3 linked regions of the Arabidopsis thaliana genome follow. The protein of the gene in region 3 interacts with the protein of the main gene of each other region in a pairwise test. Each region holds a gene or a part of one and is shown on either strand. Other genes may lie near its edges.

Evidence for each region. Proteins that work in one complex are often made in the same cells at the same time.
Region 1: the proteins of IAA1 (region 3) and NPH4 interact in binary tests that used the Arabidopsis thaliana proteins (3 or more experiments, as listed by UniProt).
Region 2: the proteins of IAA1 (region 3) and ARF6 interact in a two-hybrid assay, tested with the Arabidopsis thaliana proteins (2 studies listed by BioGRID).

What each region holds. Positions count from the first base shown.
Region 1 is NC_003076.8:7,016,109-7,023,975, forward strand, and holds NPH4 (Transcriptional factor B3 family protein / auxin-responsive factor AUX/IAA-like protein), read right to left. Parts: upstream 6,006-7,867; 5' UTR 5,397-6,005; coding exon 5,351-5,396; intron 5,031-5,350; coding exon 4,918-5,030; intron 4,818-4,917; coding exon 4,722-4,817; intron 4,618-4,721; coding exon 4,561-4,617; intron 4,473-4,560; coding exon 4,317-4,472; intron 4,230-4,316; coding exon 4,145-4,229; intron 4,054-4,144; coding exon 3,963-4,053; intron 3,881-3,962; coding exon 3,713-3,880; intron 3,622-3,712; coding exon 3,426-3,621; intron 3,328-3,425; coding exon 3,189-3,327; intron 3,112-3,188; coding exon 1,133-3,111; intron 1,055-1,132; coding exon 864-1,054; intron 777-863; coding exon 596-776; 3' UTR 362-595; downstream 1-361. Other genes in the region: CPN20 (chaperonin 20), read left to right, coding at 73-246. UniProt on the Arabidopsis thaliana protein: Auxin response factors (ARFs) are transcriptional factors that bind specifically to the DNA sequence 5'-TGTCTC-3' found in the auxin-responsive promoter elements (AuxREs).
Region 2 is NC_003070.9:10,685,317-10,692,553, reverse strand, and holds ARF6 (auxin response factor 6), read left to right. Parts: upstream 1-1,565; 5' UTR 1,566-2,517; coding exon 2,518-2,560; intron 2,561-2,646; coding exon 2,647-2,765; intron 2,766-2,850; coding exon 2,851-2,949; intron 2,950-3,042; coding exon 3,043-3,099; intron 3,100-3,183; coding exon 3,184-3,339; intron 3,340-3,423; coding exon 3,424-3,508; intron 3,509-3,597; coding exon 3,598-3,688; intron 3,689-3,771; coding exon 3,772-3,936; intron 3,937-4,017; coding exon 4,018-4,140; intron 4,141-4,220; coding exon 4,221-4,296; intron 4,297-4,388; coding exon 4,389-4,536; intron 4,537-4,617; coding exon 4,618-5,855; intron 5,856-5,936; coding exon 5,937-6,127; intron 6,128-6,212; coding exon 6,213-6,429; 3' UTR 6,430-6,732; downstream 6,733-7,237. UniProt on the Arabidopsis thaliana protein: Auxin response factors (ARFs) are transcriptional factors that bind specifically to the DNA sequence 5'-TGTCTC-3' found in the auxin-responsive promoter elements (AuxREs). Seems to act as transcriptional activator.
Region 3 is NC_003075.7:8,359,239-8,362,550, forward strand, and holds IAA1 (indole-3-acetic acid inducible), read left to right. Parts: upstream 1-1,757; 5' UTR 1,758-1,943; coding exon 1,944-2,101; intron 2,102-2,193; coding exon 2,194-2,542; 3' UTR 2,543-2,795; downstream 2,796-3,312. Other genes in the region: AARE (acylaminoacyl-peptidase-like protein), read left to right, coding at 2,887-3,020. UniProt on the Arabidopsis thaliana protein: Aux/IAA proteins are short-lived transcriptional factors that function as repressors of early auxin response genes at low auxin concentrations.

The sequences.
Region 1 (7,867 bases), on a different chromosome or scaffold from region 3:
AGTAGCTTGATGTGATAGTCAGTTCATACACAAGTTCCAATTATACATATTCTCCTCTTCATTTTATGGCAGGTGATAGCAGTTGGACCGGGTTCCCTAGACGAGGAAGGTAAAATTACGCCTCTACCAGTATCAACCGGAAGCACAGTACTTTACTCCAAGTATGCTGGTAACGACTTCAAGGGCAAAGATGGTTCCAACTACATTGCCCTCAGAGCTTCAGATGTGATGGCTATACTTTCTTAGTTATGTTATATCTTTGTAATCTGCAACTTGTATCCCAATTGTGGAAATTTTTTCCGTAAACGGCCTGAGCATAATCTGGAATAAAGACTTGAGTTTGAAAATGTGATTTTATTGCTGATTTCATGTTTTTCCTTCTCTTTTTGGTTACAAGCGGTTTCAGTTGATCAGTTAAACTTGGTAGAAACAGTGACTCACAGCAAATAAAATCTCCGTGTAAACTTAGTGGAAGATATTTTACAGGTAAATGCTCTACAGTGCCCAGTGGAAACTTGAGACATGTTATCAACGAGAAGTTATATTACAAAACGAAGAAAAAAGAATCTTTGTCTGTGAGAGAACTCTTCTGCCATCACCGGTTAAACGAAGTGGCTGAGTTATCATCATAATGACCTCTCCAAGCATTGCCACTGTCACCGCCACTACAAGCTTGATTAGTAACTGGTACACCGGCAAAGTTCCCGTCTAAGCTCATCTGCTGAACCTCAGCTGATGAAAGGATCTTAATGCTCTGAACACAGTTTACGAATTCTCTGCAAAAATCACGATTTTAAAGGTTAGCAAAAAAATAATGGAACTTCTAACAGTCTGATGTGTGAATGTAATTGCTCTCTACTTACTCCCATGGATCATCGCCGACGAGGAGGATGTCATTTTCATGATCGACATAAACAAGTTTCCAGTCAGATGTTTGAGGATCTTCGAGCTGTCCTTCGATCCCAAACATGCGCGCTAGATCATGCCTCAGCTCATCGTAACCTCTGTAACGGTTGACGTCTATTGATCTCCCCACTGAGCCTCGTTTTTGCACCTGTAGGAAAATTTAACATTTGTCAAACCGAAAACATAACCCAAATATCAACAAGCATAGATCAGAGCACAATCGAACCTTTGTATAAGTTCGCATTCGCTGAGTCTGAGCTGGCCACAATCCACCACCAAGAACTCCAGCATCGTTGACAGCTAGATCGTTCGAAATGGCGGGCACATTGGGGACACCAAAAGATTGAGTTCTTACAGCTGAAGTAGACATCTCTGTACCAATGTCATTTGTCACTCCTCCATAGTTTGAAAGCATGTTCTGAAGATCTTTCTGGGAGTCATATCCCCTCGAGAGTAGCGTGTCAGGCACAAAGCCATTATCAACATTAGCTCCACCGAGCAAGCTGTTCCTGGAATCACCGTCAAGGCCAAAAGTTGGAGCCAAGAAATTTTGTTGTCTGTTGTTTTCGCCTCCATCTAAACCGTAAGAAGTTCCAGAGGCAGATGCTTCTAGTTGATGATCTGTTAAACTAGCTTTGGACTTTTGCTGACCCACGAGTTCTTGTTTTAGCCGCATATCGGATTTGCTGTAAAGATCCTGAACAAGATTACCAGACATATCAATCGCTGCATCAGGTATCAAGATCGCTGGCCCGCTTTGGCTTCTGTTGAGAAAGCCTGAAGAAGAGATCTGACAGTTGTTGGTGGAAGGCGACGTTGAAGAGGAAGGTGCATCTCCTCCATCTGTGATGCCTGAATAAGCTTTGACCCCTCCCCCAACCGGTGGGTTTTGTTTTTCCTGAGGTCGGCTCACCAGCATTTGAGGTGGTTGCAACGTCGATAAGCCATTGTTAGTGCAAGATGACGGAAACTGATGACCTTGAGAGAGAGTAGGCAGCTGTTGCAACTGCTGGCTTTGCAATTGATGGTGTGGTAACTGAGACTGCGGCGAAAGAAATTGCTGCTGCTGTTGCTGTTGTAATCTCTGTAACAGCTGAAACTGTATATGCGGCTGTTCCAAGAGACTCTGCTGGAATATCTGTTGGGCCTGTGCCTGGTGAGCTTTCTGCTGCAAAAGTGTTTGCTGATTCTGCCCGTTGAGACCAGGAGGCTGCTGCTGTTCTACTTGTCGTGAAAACTGTGTCTCTTGCGGCGGTGCGGACATCAGATTGGATGAAGACTTGCTGGTTTCAATTACACTACTCTGGCTAGTGCTAGCACCTAAATGGTGATGTGCTTGTTGAAGTTGCTTAGACTGTTGTTGTTGCTGTTGAAAGCTTTGATTAAGGGAGCTGGACGGAGGCGTGATGACACTGCTTGCCATTGATCCCGAAACTAATTGTGGTTGCAAATGATGTGTAGATGCTTGTTGCGACTGATGCTGCTGCGCTGCTTGTTGACCATTGTAAAGCTGATTCTGTGGAACCTGAAGTTGCTGCAACTTATGTTGTTGTAACTGTTGTGGCTGTGGATGCGAGTGAGATTGCAATGGCTGTGTTCTTAGCTGCTGCTGCTGAGTCTGTTGCTGTAACGGTTGTTGATGTTGTTGCTGCAGTTGTTGTTGTTGTTGCTGCTGGAGCAATTGTTGTTGTTGCTGAGACTGCGATTGATTGTTGTTGCTGTGTTGTTGAGACTGCAATTGTTGTTGCTGCTGCAGCAACTGTTGTTGTTGTTGCTGTTGTTGAGACTGCGATTGCTGTTGTTGATGGTTCAAAGAGGAGTGCAACAATTGCTGCAGCTGCTGTTGTTGGGACAACGTAGTTGGTGGCTGAGGCAACTGAGACATTGGGGCTTGCTGATTCTGTTTGTTAAATTGGAGATTTGAGGAGGAAATCCCCCCGTGCGGCGTCTGAAAGCTCAGTAACTTGGAGGGATCATCAGTGCCGCCAAGATTGTTGTGCAGCGCCGCGGTTGGCGAAAGCATTGATGGGAAGAAACCTGGCTGTGCAGCAGCAGAGGGTAGCTGGCCGTTCTGCTGCTGCATATTCATCCACTGAACTAAACTCAGACCAGGAAAGATAGTACTCGAAGGGTCTTTCATCTCTAAGCTATTATCAAGCCATGGCATTGCTCTCTTCAGTGCAGACTCCATGTCAGTCTCATCATCTGCAAGAGCACCGGAAATTCCGTCCTTGAGGAGATTCAAAGAAGTTGTGTCGAAATGAAATGGTACAAAAATTTACCTGGCATTCCAGGTTGTCCAGAAAAGCGAGGTCGGAAAAATGGAGGAGGACATATGTAGAAAGGAGTTAAAACCGGTTCAATGTCCCAAACTGAAACTCGACTGGGCCTATCACCAGCAGCTGACTCATCCCATCCAATCTTTAGCAGAAACAGAAACAAAGCATAACTAAAATGAATGGTGCAATGTATCAAGAAAGACAAATCTGACATTCATCATGAGTTTTACTTCAAACTACCTGAAGATTCCGCCACTGAGAGTTTTTCCATCTCACTGGATCAAGATCACTGATACCGGTAACTGTACCCATATACCGACGAACTCCACATTCTTCAGTCTCAAATATCATTCTAAACCGCATACCGAGGGAAACTTGAGCGTACATCGCTTTGGTATACTTGGCTAAAGGAACCACAAACTCAGCAGGAGCAGCCCTGAAAAAACTCGGTTGTAAATCTCTCAGCAATTGCCATGAAACAAGCATATATAGTAAGGTTAACGTAGACAAAAGGAAACATAGATCGCCACCTCGGGTTGTAGAAAATGGTGAAAGGACTGTTATTAGCATTAGCATGAGCTGCAGCTGCAAGAACTCCGATGTGCATGCTATCACTTGATATTACAGATGAAGAAAGTGCAGGCTGTTGTCTATTTGCACGTCTTATCCCCAACAGAAGTTGCGCCTTTCCATCTCTTAATTGAAAGAAAAAAAGAATTAGCATCTTGACAAAAAAAAATACCGAAAGAGAGCATTGGCACATTGAGATTGATATACCTTATAAAAAGAACAGAGTCTCCAGCAAAGAGCCTTTTCGTGCTGACAAACACACTCCAGCCTGTAGTTAGCAAGTGCCTTTTTGGTTGACCTGATAAATGTCAACATATCCAAAACGTAAGAACAATTCTACGAAAGCCAAATTGATTAAAGAAGGTAATCTACCAAAAACAAGGTAAAACCTCGATAAATATGTCTGAAAGTCCATGTGTTGTCATGAATATCCTTAGCAACAAGCTCCTGACAAGGTGGTTGCATCGAGAAATCCTAGTAAAATATTGCCAACAATGTAAGAAACTAAGGCAATACAGAGATACTAACTATCAGATGTATAAGAAAGTATTGTATATACACCAGAGCAGGAAAGATTTTCTCAGCAGCTCGTCGGGGTACAGAAAATCCACCGTGAGTACTTGTGTCACTCGCCGTGAGGGTTTTGCAGAAAAATTCATTAGGTTGTCTGTTTAGCTTAAGACCCATGTCAGAAGCAAGCAATGCATCTCTGTCATACTGTTCAACAAAATGCTCAGAGCAATTAGTCCCTCCCTACTCCTTAAATACACCTATAAATCGAGTTATTCAGTGAAAGGTAAGCTACTTTGTTTACTGGCTGAAGAGTCATCTGCGCATAGACCTCATCCGTCTCAGGATCAGCCTGGTTCACAGTCGACAATTAGCAAAACATTAGCAACTCAAAAGCAAAAAATGTTAAAACAACTAGCCTAAGAGGCCATTATAGATATTTAAAAGATACCATACATTCAGTGTAACATTGTGGAGCATGCATATGAGCTTGGAAGGAAGATTCGGGTAACTTGGTATGAAATCAGTCTGCTTCTGCATTGAAGCCGCGACCTAAGAAACAGAAAAATAAATAGCAACCACATGAAATTTCCAATCAGCGACTCATTCTTGATCAGCCGCGAATGATACCAAACTTTATTGAACAACATACTTGCTCACTGTGACCTTGAGGGAAGTAAACAACAAGACTTCCTGCTGGAGGCAACGAAATCAATGGCCCAGCACAAGCGTGCCATAGCTCTGAGTTTATATTTCTCCTTTCTCCTGCATTCACACAACATCAAAGCTGTGATTACTTAAAATCTCTAGGATCTTCATTCAGTTACTATTATCAAACCAACAAGATAGGAGAGAACTGCTCTAAACCAACTAAAAGCCACAGTCTTTATAAACCAATACAATAGTAACTTAGCTTACTCTCTAAGCAGAAAATGACCGAAACCAATTCAATTCAGGTTCTCAAATCCAGCAATTCTGAAGAAATGTGTGACCTCTTCTACTTAAAACTTGAATCTATTCAAATCCAGCAATGAATTTCTTCTACTAAAGGATTGACATTTATCAGATACGAGAAACACACAAACCTTCAACAGGATTAGGAGAAACTCCATTTGATGAAGGAGCTTTCATGATCACTCAACTTTACTTTCTCTGAAGAATAAACCCAATAAATAATCTGAATCTGAGCTTATACAAAGCTAAGCTCTTTGCGTGAGAGCTTCATCAAAAGCCCTAAACTTTCACTCAAGTTGTTAATAGCTTCCTAGCTCAAGTAACAGCAGAGAGAATCGTTAATCAGAAATGGGGAACTCCAAGATCTCAGCTTTTTATCTCCGACAGAGCCGCCAATTTCTCGGAAATTTTAAGTATCTCAAAGAGATCAAAAACCACGACTTTTCACACGCGGAATCTCCGGAGAGACAAACAAAGCATACGACCTTAAAAAAGATTCCGTTTTTAACGAAGCTCTTTATCTCGAGTCAGATAATTCAAAAACACCCACAAAGTTACTTGATTCAGCTGCTCTTCTTTGTTTTGCTTTCCTTTCTTGGGGGGAATCAAATCAAAGAGACGGGTTTCTATAAAAAGAAATCTGGAAAATGAATCGAAAGAGAAAAACAAAACTTAAGGATGACCAAGGACAATCGAAGATTAAGACTCAAACGTGAGAGAAAGAGCAACAGAGTTGTCGGAAAGGGATGATCAGCGACCAGGACAACTACCAAAAGGTCTGCTAAAGCACAGGAACAGCTTTTTCTTCTTCCTCTCCTTTTTTTTTCCTTCTCTTTTCTTTTTCCGATATTTTTATTTTTTTATACCTATTTAGTTATGCTCATGAAGCCGACATATTCACTAGCAAACTGGCCACGATTTAATTTCTTAATGTTATTATTGTCCTCTAAAATTTTAACTTTGACACACAAAAAAACAACTTTATTAGTGTTTTCTTTTTCCTTATCTCTGATAATTTGATAAGTTTTTTTCATTAAGGTTATTATTACTGTATCATTTATTGTAATACTTGATTAGGGATAACATAGATTTATAGGGGATGTATTGAAAAAAACAAACTAAGCTGACTAGCTAGTTATTTGATCAAAGTGCGTACATATATGTTTGGCAATTTCTTTTGTAGTTAACTATATTTAATTCAGATAGATTTTAGGATTCATAATTCATCAAAAAATTTTATGATTTTCATTATTTTGAACAAAAGCATTTTACTAGAAATTTTGTGGAGTTTTACATGGTTGGTTCTGAGTTTCATAAACTAGCGTTCATGTTTTAAACGAGAATGGAACTTAAATGTTTAGTAATGAGTTCTATAATAACAAACAAATCTAAATTCGCTTAGATCATCATTATAAACAATTGATCTTATTTTGTTGTAAATGTTGATTAATTGATCAAATCTAAGTACATACAGCATATGCGATCACAAAGAACAATATTTTAACGGACGATTTCATATCAAAAATGATAGAAGTTCTCTCTTTGTTCATGATTCTTTATTGGTTTCTTATATTAATTAACCTAAACTTTTGTCTTTTGGAAGAAGTGTTATAATGTCACACAAAATAAAATTACATATGATGATCACAACTTACACTCTTTTCCCAGTACAGCCATCATTCAAAATTTTCCTCTATAATCGTTAAAATGTCTACCCAAAAAAAAACGGTGATATATATTCCTAAACATATTGGAAAACCGAATATAACCATAAATATGTCATTGTACAAACTACAATCTATTTGGTTTAAGGCCACATAACAAGTTTTATCTACCAAAGACTGAACCTCCATATTCATCACAGACCATTGTAAAATGCATGTAAACCCTTTGAATGACCCCACATCAAAAAAGAAAGTTACAAAACAGTAACCTCTTTGTTAGTTTAGGTTCGATCCAAAACTTATTTGGCAGGAATGCTTAAAATTCTATATACTTACAACTTTAAGTGAAGGTAATATATATGTATGGAATGAATGGATGTCAATTCAAATAAGTGGCAGTGAGTAGCGACATGATGTCCCTGAGCAATAAATGCGTGAAGACAGAAGTTTGGAGATTGGATGAATGTAAGAAGGCCTTTTGAAGTTATGGATTTCGACGCCTAGCTTTTTTTTTTCTTTTTTTTTTGTGAAACTTTGAGGCCTAGCTAACGTTTAAAAAAAGAAAAAGAAAAATGTTAATAGTTTTCTTATTACAAAGTGACCGAAATTTAGTATGAACTCCGAACTACGACTTCATGCATGTATTAAAGTTGGAATGAAAGGAAGAAGAGCGTGACGCATTTCAGAACCGGTTGTGTGTCCGTATGGTGTCCGCAGTGGAAAGTGGAAAATGAACAAGATGAATAACTCATATACTGTCCTAAAGATATTTCCAGAATCACATCAACGTATTTTAGCCGATTTAATGAATTCGACAGTTGGTGTTGACAATATATGTAAATGTAACCACAAAATACACCACTTGAGTTGGATGAATTATCAGAGAGAGACGAGGAAGTTTCGTTACGATTCCATGATTTTCTCGACTTTACTATGTCATTCTGATATGCATTATTTGTTAATTTGTATGTAAGAGAGAGTTGT
Region 2 (7,237 bases), on a different chromosome or scaffold from region 3:
TGAAACATAACAAAAATTAATAGTTTAACATGATAATTGACATATGTTGATTATACTAAATAAATTATTTGTAAAATAGGGGGGAGAGAGAAATATGAAGTAACAAAAACAAAAAAGAAAAGAAATGAGAAGATGTCTCTAAAAGCGAATTTTTAATTATTTATTACTCACCTAGTCACCTTATTTGTCATTTTTAATTTTTTATGTTAAGTAATTCTGAAATCTTCCATTGTTTTCACTAAATTCACCCATAATTCTATATATCCATTTTTTAAAACATAACTTGTGAAATCTAGTGTATATAATAACTAATAACTGTTATATTTTTATATTTGTTTGTGTGGGAAAATGTTAAGTAATAACTGTTATTTTGTATAACATGTTCTCTGTATATAATAAACAAGCACTAGGGTACTAGCTATAAGCTACGTTTCTAATTTGTCGCAAATTTTTAAGGTTTTGCTTAAGAATTAGTTGCATAAACAAATGCTAGTTGGATACTTTTGATGCTGATGTTTTATGTACGTATATCACTTTCTTGCATAAAAACACATTAGCCGAATTTTCTAGCAACTGACAATAATGCAACTGAATTTAATACAAATAAATAAATAAAATCTACAAAAGATATGGCGATGGTACTGATCTATTTGTATATAATGCTGTTTCCAACGTTACCCTTGTTTACGTCAAGAAGTTGCACGTGCCTTCTTAGGGCAGTCTTGTCATTTCCCCTAGGTAAATGATCACTATCTCCATTGTTTGGAATCAAAATTCATGTTCTCTAAATTTTTTTCTTTCTTTCGGATAAAATTATCTAATTAAAATTTATTGGAATCTTAAGAAAAAACACGTATATTCTTTATTACAATATATAGCTGAAGAAATCAGATTCGCAAATTTCCAAACGAGGAAGTGTGTATTATACATATATATTACCAATTATACCCTCTTCTACATGCAATTCGAACTACTATTATATACATAAAAAAAAAAAAAATAGAATCAGGAAACCCTAAAAGCACGTCCTGTCATTTTTATCAGGTGATTTCACTGTCTATATATATTGACTTATTGCTATATTCTATATAAAATAAATTTTGCTGTAATTCGCACACTTCCATTTTCACATTACACAATCAAATAATGAGGCAAAATAAAATAGCCAATGAAAGAGTACTTATGTACTCCAAACAGAACTTTTAAACCTTGACCAGTAAACCAAAGGATTTCTACAGCAATGATATTTTTCCTAAAACAAATTGATTCATTTTATTTGCAATAGTTCACTAAAACTCTAGTATAAAAAAGCCTTTGGTCATCCACTAGCTGAAAAAAATCTACAACAACACATAATTTTTATAAAACTACTATGACAAAGAAAAAAAAAAGAGTAAGAAATACGATCATGTAATACTATAATATATGATGGTACCATAACGTATTATTATTTTTTTTTTTTTCCTTTGTACCATAACGTATTATTAAAACCATAATAGTACTCAATTTTAATTACATGGACGACGCAACGAAGTTTTGAAATTCGGGAGAAGCATAAATTAAAAAAAGGCACGAGTCCCAAACTGTAAATAAAAAGGAAATAAGGGGTAAATTAGTAAATTAAGTGTCCTTTCAGAACAACAAGTTGCTTTAGAAGAAAATCAAAGACCCGCTCCGTTCGGGTTCGGGTCAAAAAACAGCCATTGTCGTTCTTTCTTCTTCTTCTGATTCTCATTTCAAATAAGAGAGAGAGAGAGAGAAGTAAGTAAAACTTTAGCAGAGAGAAGAATAAACAAATAATTATAGCACCGTCACGTCGCCGCCGTATTTCGTTACCGGAAAAAAAAAATCATTCTTCAACATAAAAATAAAAACAGTCTCTTTCTTTCTATCTTTGTCTATCTTTGATTATTCTCTGTGTACCCATGTTCTGCAACAGTTGAGCAAGTGCATGCCCCATATCTCTCTGTTTCTCATTTCCCGATCTTTGCATTAATCATATACTTCGCCTGAGATCTCGATTAAGCCAGCTTATAGAAGAAGAAACGGCACCAGCTTCTGTCGTTTTAGTTAGCTCGAGATCTGTGTTTCTTTTTTTCTTGGCTTCTGAGCTTTTGGCGGTGGTGGGTTTTTCTGGAGAAACCCAAACGACTATCAAAGTTTTGTTTTTTACAATTTTAAGTGGGAGTTATGAGTGGGGTGGATTAAGTAAGTTACAAGTATGAAGGAGTTGAAGATTCGAAGAAGCGGTTTTGAAGTCGGCGAGACCAAGATTGCGAGCTTATTTGGCTGATGATTTATTTCAGGGAAGAAGAAATAAATCTGTTTTTTTTAGGGTTTTTAGATTTGGTTGGTGAATGGGTGGGAGGTGGAGGGAAACAGTTAAAAAAGTTATGCTTTTAGTGTCTCTTCTTCATAATTACATTTGGGCATCTTGAAATCTTTGGATCTTTGAAGAAACAAAGTTGTGTTTTTTTTTTTGTTCTTTGTTGTTTGCTTTTTAAGTTAGAATAAAAAATGAGATTATCTTCAGCTGGGTTTAATCCTCAACCTCATGAAGGTAATTCTCTCTTTTCTCTCTCTATTGCTTTGATACTTCTAGCAAATAGTGATTTTAAACTAACTTTGTGAGTTTTGGATTGAAAGTTACAGGAGAGAAAAGAGTTCTTAATTCTGAGCTCTGGCATGCTTGTGCTGGTCCTCTTGTCTCACTACCTCCTGTTGGAAGCAGAGTTGTGTATTTTCCTCAAGGTCACAGTGAACAGGTTTTTGTCTCCTTCCTTTTATGATTTGGATTCAAATCTTTCCTTTTTGGTTACAGGTTACTTGAGAATGTTTTGTGGTTTTCAGGTTGCTGCTTCGACCAACAAAGAAGTAGATGCTCATATACCAAATTATCCGAGCTTGCATCCGCAGCTTATCTGTCAGCTTCATAATGTTACAATGCATGTAAGGAACTCACTATCAGTTTTTATGACAAACTTTTCTAAGTGTCTTTTCTGTTTGTGTGTTAGTTAAGAACTTGATTCCTTACCATTTCAGGCTGATGTGGAGACTGATGAAGTCTATGCACAGATGACTTTGCAACCGTTGAATGCGGTATGAGACTTTACTATGTAATTCATAATTAATTTTGTGGAATTTGTCGGTGTTTTGAACCTTCTTTGCTTGGTTTGAATGCAGCAAGAGCAAAAAGATCCTTACCTTCCCGCGGAATTAGGTGTCCCAAGTAGACAGCCTACAAACTATTTCTGTAAAACTCTGACTGCTAGTGATACAAGCACTCACGGAGGTTTTTCTGTACCTCGCCGAGCTGCTGAGAAAGTTTTCCCTCCCTTGGTAATTCATCTTATTGTTCATATGAATTCTACTTTCAAGATTAGCTATTGCCTCCTTAACAATAAAATTTTATGTGTTCTTCAGGATTACTCGCAGCAGCCACCAGCTCAAGAGTTAATGGCGAGGGATCTGCATGATAATGAATGGAAGTTCAGGCATATTTTCCGAGGTTAGCTTTCTTCGTGAAAAATCCAAGTTCTTATTAATAGCTGAAGAACAAAGAGATTTATTTAATCTGTATTTGTTTCTGCGTTATAGGCCAACCAAAGAGACATCTCCTTACCACGGGTTGGAGCGTATTTGTGAGTGCTAAAAGGCTTGTTGCTGGTGACTCTGTTCTTTTCATCTGGTTAGAAACATCTTTCAAATTGGGGTTTTTGTTTAAGTGTTACATTCAAATCATGAAACTGACTCAAGTATTTGTAATGCTAGGAACGATAAGAATCAATTACTTCTTGGTATAAGACGAGCCAACCGACCACAAACTGTCATGCCTTCATCTGTTTTGTCAAGTGACAGTATGCATTTAGGCCTTCTTGCTGCAGCAGCTCATGCTGCCGCTACAAACAGCCGATTCACCATCTTCTATAACCCGAGGTATCGTCTTAAGTACCTTATGAATGCACTTATGTGTTGATTCTCTTCGTTTTGCATCAAACGGATTCGGTTTTTCTGCAGGGCGAGTCCATCAGAGTTTGTTATACCCCTGGCTAAGTATGTGAAAGCGGTTTATCACACTCGCGTCTCTGTTGGTATGCGGTTTAGGATGCTGTTTGAAACTGAAGAATCTAGTGTTCGTCGGTAGGTGAATTATCAGAGTTCCTATAATTTACTCTGCTTTTTGCTGCTGAATGTCCTTAAGAATCTTCGTTTGTTGTCAGGTACATGGGTACAATAACTGGCATTTGTGATCTAGATCCTACTCGTTGGGCTAATTCGCATTGGCGATCTGTCAAGGTTTAGCTCAAAACCAAACCTTTAGTAGAAAATATTCATTGGTCTTTGCATTCTCGTATACATATATCATTCATCATCTGATCAAAATGCAGGTTGGGTGGGACGAATCTACTGCAGGAGAGAGACAGCCAAGGGTTTCATTGTGGGAGATTGAGCCTTTAACAACATTCCCTATGTATCCATCTCCTTTTCCTCTCAGGCTTAAACGGCCGTGGCCTCCTGGTCTCCCATCTTTCCATGGTATTGTAAATTTCAAAACTTTAACAAATCTCTGAAAGGTTTCTATTTCTAGTCTTTTATATCTTCTAATTTTGGTTGCAGGCCTTAAAGAAGATGATATGGGTATGAGTATGAGTTCACCGCTTATGTGGGATCGAGGACTCCAATCTCTAAACTTTCAAGGTATGGGAGTAAACCCGTGGATGCAGCCGAGACTTGATACGTCGGGCTTGCTTGGTATGCAAAATGATGTGTACCAAGCAATGGCTGCAGCTGCCCTTCAAGACATGAGAGGCATTGATCCTGCAAAAGCTGCTGCTTCACTTCTTCAGTTCCAAAATTCGCCGGGGTTCTCAATGCAATCTCCGTCCTTAGTGCAGCCGCAGATGCTGCAGCAGCAACTCTCTCAGCAGCAGCAACAACTCTCTCAGCAGCAGCAGCAGCAGCAACAGCTCTCCCAACAGCAGCAGCAACAGCTCTCTCAACAGCAGCAGCAGCAGCTCTCTCAACAGCAGCAGCAACAACTCTCTCAGCAGCAGCAGCAACAGGCGTATCTTGGCGTTCCTGAAACCCACCAGCCTCAGTCTCAGGCTCAATCACAGTCAAACAATCATCTTTCTCAGCAGCAGCAGCAAGTAGTGGATAATCATAATCCGTCTGCGTCCAGTGCTGCTGTTGTTTCCGCTATGTCTCAATTTGGTTCTGCTTCTCAGCCCAACACGTCACCACTCCAGTCCATGACCTCTCTGTGTCATCAGCAAAGCTTCTCCGATACCAACGGAGGAAACAATCCTATTTCTCCACTTCACACTCTTCTCAGTAACTTCTCTCAAGACGAATCTTCTCAACTGCTCCACCTCACTAGAACAAACTCTGCAATGACTTCATCCGGTTGGCCATCAAAGCGTCCTGCAGTTGATTCATCGTTCCAGCACTCTGGAGCCGGTAATAATAACACTCAATCCGTATTGGAGCAACTGGGACAGTCCCACACAAGCAACGTTCCTCCAAACGCTGTCTCGTTGCCTCCATTTCCCGGTGGTAGAGAGTGCTCGATCGAGCAAGAAGGAAGCGCCTCAGACCCGCATAGCCATCTTCTCTTTGGAGTCAATATAGATTCATCTTCTCTTTTGATGCCGAACGGAATGTCAAACCTTAGAAGCATTGGTATTGAAGGTGGTGACTCCACGACTTTACCCTTCACATCATCTAATTTCAACAATGATTTCTCGGGTAATCTTGCAATGACAACACCTTCTAGTTGCATAGATGAATCGGGTTTTCTACAATCCTCAGAAAACCTCGGTTCCGAGAACCCACAATCTAACACCTTTGTGAAGGTAAAGTTTTATTTCTTTTCCCTACCCAAAATGTTCTTCTTGTTTGCATGCATAGCGATGATTCCGGAAATGTTTTTGTAGGTGTACAAGTCAGGGTCTTTTGGAAGATCGTTAGATATATCAAAGTTTAGCAGCTACCACGAGCTGCGAAGCGAGCTTGCTCGCATGTTTGGCCTCGAAGGCCAATTAGAAGACCCTGTGAGATCAGGCTGGCAGCTTGTATTTGTTGACCGAGAGAACGACGTTCTTCTCCTCGGCGATGACCCTTGGCCGTGAGTTTATTAACTTATCCCTCATTTCCGCATTTGGTTTTGTCCATTTCCATGTTTATTTACCTGCATTTACCATTATCGACAGGGAGTTTGTGAGCAGCGTGTGGTGCATTAAGATACTGTCACCACAAGAAGTGCAACAAATGGGAAAAAGAGGCCTTGAGCTTCTCAACTCCGCGCCATCTTCCAACAATGTCGATAAGCTCCCGAGCAACGGGAACTGTGACGACTTTGGGAACCGGTCAGACCCGAGGAATCTCGGTAACGGTATCGCATCAGTTGGGGGTTCATTCAACTACTAGAAGTAGATGGAAACCTCCCTTTTTATTCAAGTTAAGTTTCAATCTTATAAATTAGTAGTGAGATCATCTTAGTTTAATTACTAGCAAAAATCTCTCTTTATTACTTATAAAAAAGGGAGATTTGCCTTTGCCTTTGATGGAAACAAAAACTATATAATCCCTCTGTCGACTCGTAATACTGTAATTATAAGATCTTTTGGTCTTTTTCTTATATGAATATTTTTACTGAACTCTATATATGTCACTTTCCTTACTCATTTCTTCAATCAATATGATAGTGAAGGGTTATTTTGGAGTTACATTAAGACTTTGTCTGACTAAAATGGTCCACAGAGAAAGTGATTTGGGTCCCAATCTCCTTATTGGAAGTGAAAGCGTTTTGTGGTTTTGTTGTGTGAAACACCAAAATATTCCGACCCGCAATTTGGGGCTTTACCCTAAAATTAGATCTCATTTTGCGTCAGCAAAAACTTTATCTCTAGACACGTATCGATCCGTAGTTCGTAGGACATTTTTATTGGTAGGTAAATTAATATATGCCCTTATCGTTTATAGTAAGTTTTTTTTTTCACAATATCGTTTATAGTAAGTTTAGTTTTCACCAAAGAATATGAAACGAAATTTGTAGAATGAGTATGGTTTTTGTTTGCGTCTTCATGTTAAGATAATTAGAATATTATAACATGGTAAAAAAGGAAATCTAACTCCTATTAACTTGAGAAAATAAACGTCATTTCGATAATTGATCGAAATTGTTGTGAATTTGGAAAATATCTTGCAATATAACTTTTTCTTGTTCGGTTTTATC
Region 3 (3,312 bases):
GGTGACATAAGTATAAATGATATTATCATGATTCACCTACCTGCAGGAGATCCATCTATTGGGATCAGAAAATCCGTTATACTATTATATAGCATGTAAACTCTACAATTATGTTATCATCTCCCACACAATGAGAGGGATTTCCAAAACAGATTTAACAAATGTTACTTCTTATAAGCATACGTCTTGTTTTATATTGAACACGCAAGCCTCTAGCGACTAGCATCTCTGTATTTCATGATCAAGTTTATACATATACTTTTTTATTTGTTATACTCTTTATGTTTTTTTTAATAAAAAAAATTGTTTTGGATGAATATGAAAAGAATAAGAAACTAGAAATAACTTTTTGATTAATAATAGTTCAATAATATGAGTACTAATTATTAATTTAAAACACAAATGTTGTATGGAAAAACAAAAACAACAACTAAAATGACAAAAAATTGTTCAACCATCTTATAAACTTTAAACGTAGGGAGCATTACTTTATACTTGTTGTAAAAACGATAATGCTTATTGGTAAAATAACCCATATACATTTTGATTTGTCAATATGTTCATATATGATCTAGTTTTTGTTCTCGTTGTCGCTAGATAGACAATAAAATTTCTTAGTGGACAGTGATTGTGGAATGAATATACGCCCAACACAAATATAAACATCAAATTAAGGTGCATGCGGTATGGGAATTGCAAGTTAAATGAACATAGTTATGCGTAATTTCGAGAAGGGATTAATTGTATTACCTTGCTCGAAATACCACATGGGCCGTGTCCCCAAAAGCCCATTTAAAATGGTTTTTTTTTTTTTTTAAATCATCTCTTTAGATATTTTTTTCAACTCTTTTTCAACAAAATATATAGTTTCATATAGATATTTGTATTTATAATAAATGTTAAAATGAAATTTTACACAATAATTAAAATAAAATAAATAGAAAAAATGTTATTTGAGACAGCATATCACATGGCCTTACCATACTTCCTGCATCCATTATTCCATTAAGAACACTCTTCACCCTCATCCACATGCATCTCCCTCCCCAATTTATTTACTATTGATCATAATTGTACAAACCTATACTTACAATTTATATATGTGTCTACGAGAAAATAAATAATATTTTACAGTGTTTTGTCTATTATTTTGTTCTATAGTTTCTTGCAAACAAAACATTACTTTTCACGCAAAAACTGTCGAAATATTTATAAAAGGAAATTGTTAATTCTTCGATACAAATTGACCATTAATATTTGATCATCTATTCTAGACATCTACTCTACCATATACCAAACCTTTACACAAAAATGAAATATTTTCATGAAAACTACCCCACAACTGGGGTGATCGAAAAAGCTTGATCTATATGATCAACATGTCCAACACTAGTTTCATTTTTTCTACTATGATATCCGATGATCCAATCTGAACTATACAAAATGTATCTAGATATTTTCTTGAATCAATCCGAATAACGAATAGTTGCAAAACATAAACCTAGCGTGATCGTGTGGTAGAAGGACGAAGGTCGAGAAGTTCTCTTACTCTTATGATTTTCTCTTTACTCATTTGACCGTAAGAGAAAGAAACGGCTAGGATCTCGCGTACGCAACTGGCGGAGACAAATCAGGACCGTTGAAAATAAGAAAGAAGCCGCGTCCAAAATCTTTGTGTCCCACCTTTGTCCCCTTGCCTCTAACTTGCCTCCTCATGCTCCCCGACAACGTCATAATTCATATCTCTCTCTCTCTCTCGTTAACCCTAATTTCAAAGCATCTTTCCTTATATAAATCTCTCTCTCTCCCTCACCATTACACAACACACACAAGCATTTTCAAGGATATCAAATCACAATCCCAAGAAGAGCAATAACAAGAGAAGAAGAAGTAGTTCAAGAATTAAGGAAGAGAGCTTCTCCGTTAAAGTATAGTGAGAGAATATGGAAGTCACCAATGGGCTTAACCTTAAGGACACAGAGCTTCGTTTGGGATTACCCGGAGCACAAGAAGAACAACAACTAGAACTTTCTTGCGTCAGAAGCAACAACAAGCGCAAGAACAACGACTCAACAGAAGAATCTGCTCCTCCTCCTGCAAAGTAAGTTGAGATCTGAAAGTTATAGTTTTAATATCCAAACTTCTTGATATCAATCGGTGTACTAATAATGAATCTTGATTTGTAAACTTCAGAACACAAATCGTTGGATGGCCTCCAGTGAGATCTAACCGTAAGAACAACAACAACAAAAACGTGAGTTATGTGAAAGTGAGTATGGACGGAGCTCCATATCTCCGTAAGATAGATCTCAAGATGTACAAAAACTATCCAGAGCTTCTCAAAGCACTAGAGAACATGTTCAAGTTCACAGTAGGTGAATATTCCGAGAGAGAAGGCTACAAAGGATCTGGATTTGTACCTACTTATGAAGACAAAGATGGAGATTGGATGTTGGTCGGTGATGTTCCATGGGACATGTTCTCTTCATCTTGTCAAAAACTCAGAATCATGAAAGGATCCGAAGCTCCTACTGCCTTATGATCCATTGTCTCAAAACACCTTTTGGTCGAGGCAAAAACAAATTCTACTTTGTTTAGATAAAAAAAAGTTTGGTGTAAAGAAAGAAAAAGCAATAGGGTTACAAATACGTTATATAGATGTAAACTAGCTTTGGTTAATTCTGTAAAAGATGAGTTTTGATTATACGAAGTTTATATGTATGCTCAAGATATTTGATACTAACATAACCAATAAAGTTTAGTATTTGATACTAACATAAGTTTGGGACATAGTGAAAGATATAAAATTTTGGATTAAGAAATGGGCAATGTAATGGATATCACTATCGAAAGTTTTCAACTTTTTTTTGTTTTGTTTAATATTAGATGGCGAGAATCTTTAGTCACTACCCAATAACTTGCTCCACCAATTTGGGATTTGACTTGAGCTCTTCTCATCGTCATCTTCGTCGCCTTCTTTTCCGATCTACTTTCATCACTCCTTCACTCACTCAGTCTCCGTAAGCTCTTCTTCTTCTTCTCTCAGTCTCTGTTTTTCAATCCGAAAATTCATTACTTTGATGGTGTTACCACGAATTGAGAATCATTGATGGTATTGCTTTGATGGGTATCGTTTATATGACAGTTTTTAATCCGAAAGTTTATTACTTTGATTGGTTTTTTGTTTGTTCTGTTTTAACGAATTTGAAGCCAATCATATCTACTAAGAACTTGATTGGTTTAGAGTTATGGATGATGAATCTGATTAATGGAATTGTTTTGCAATCATTAGTGATTTATGAGATACTTGTT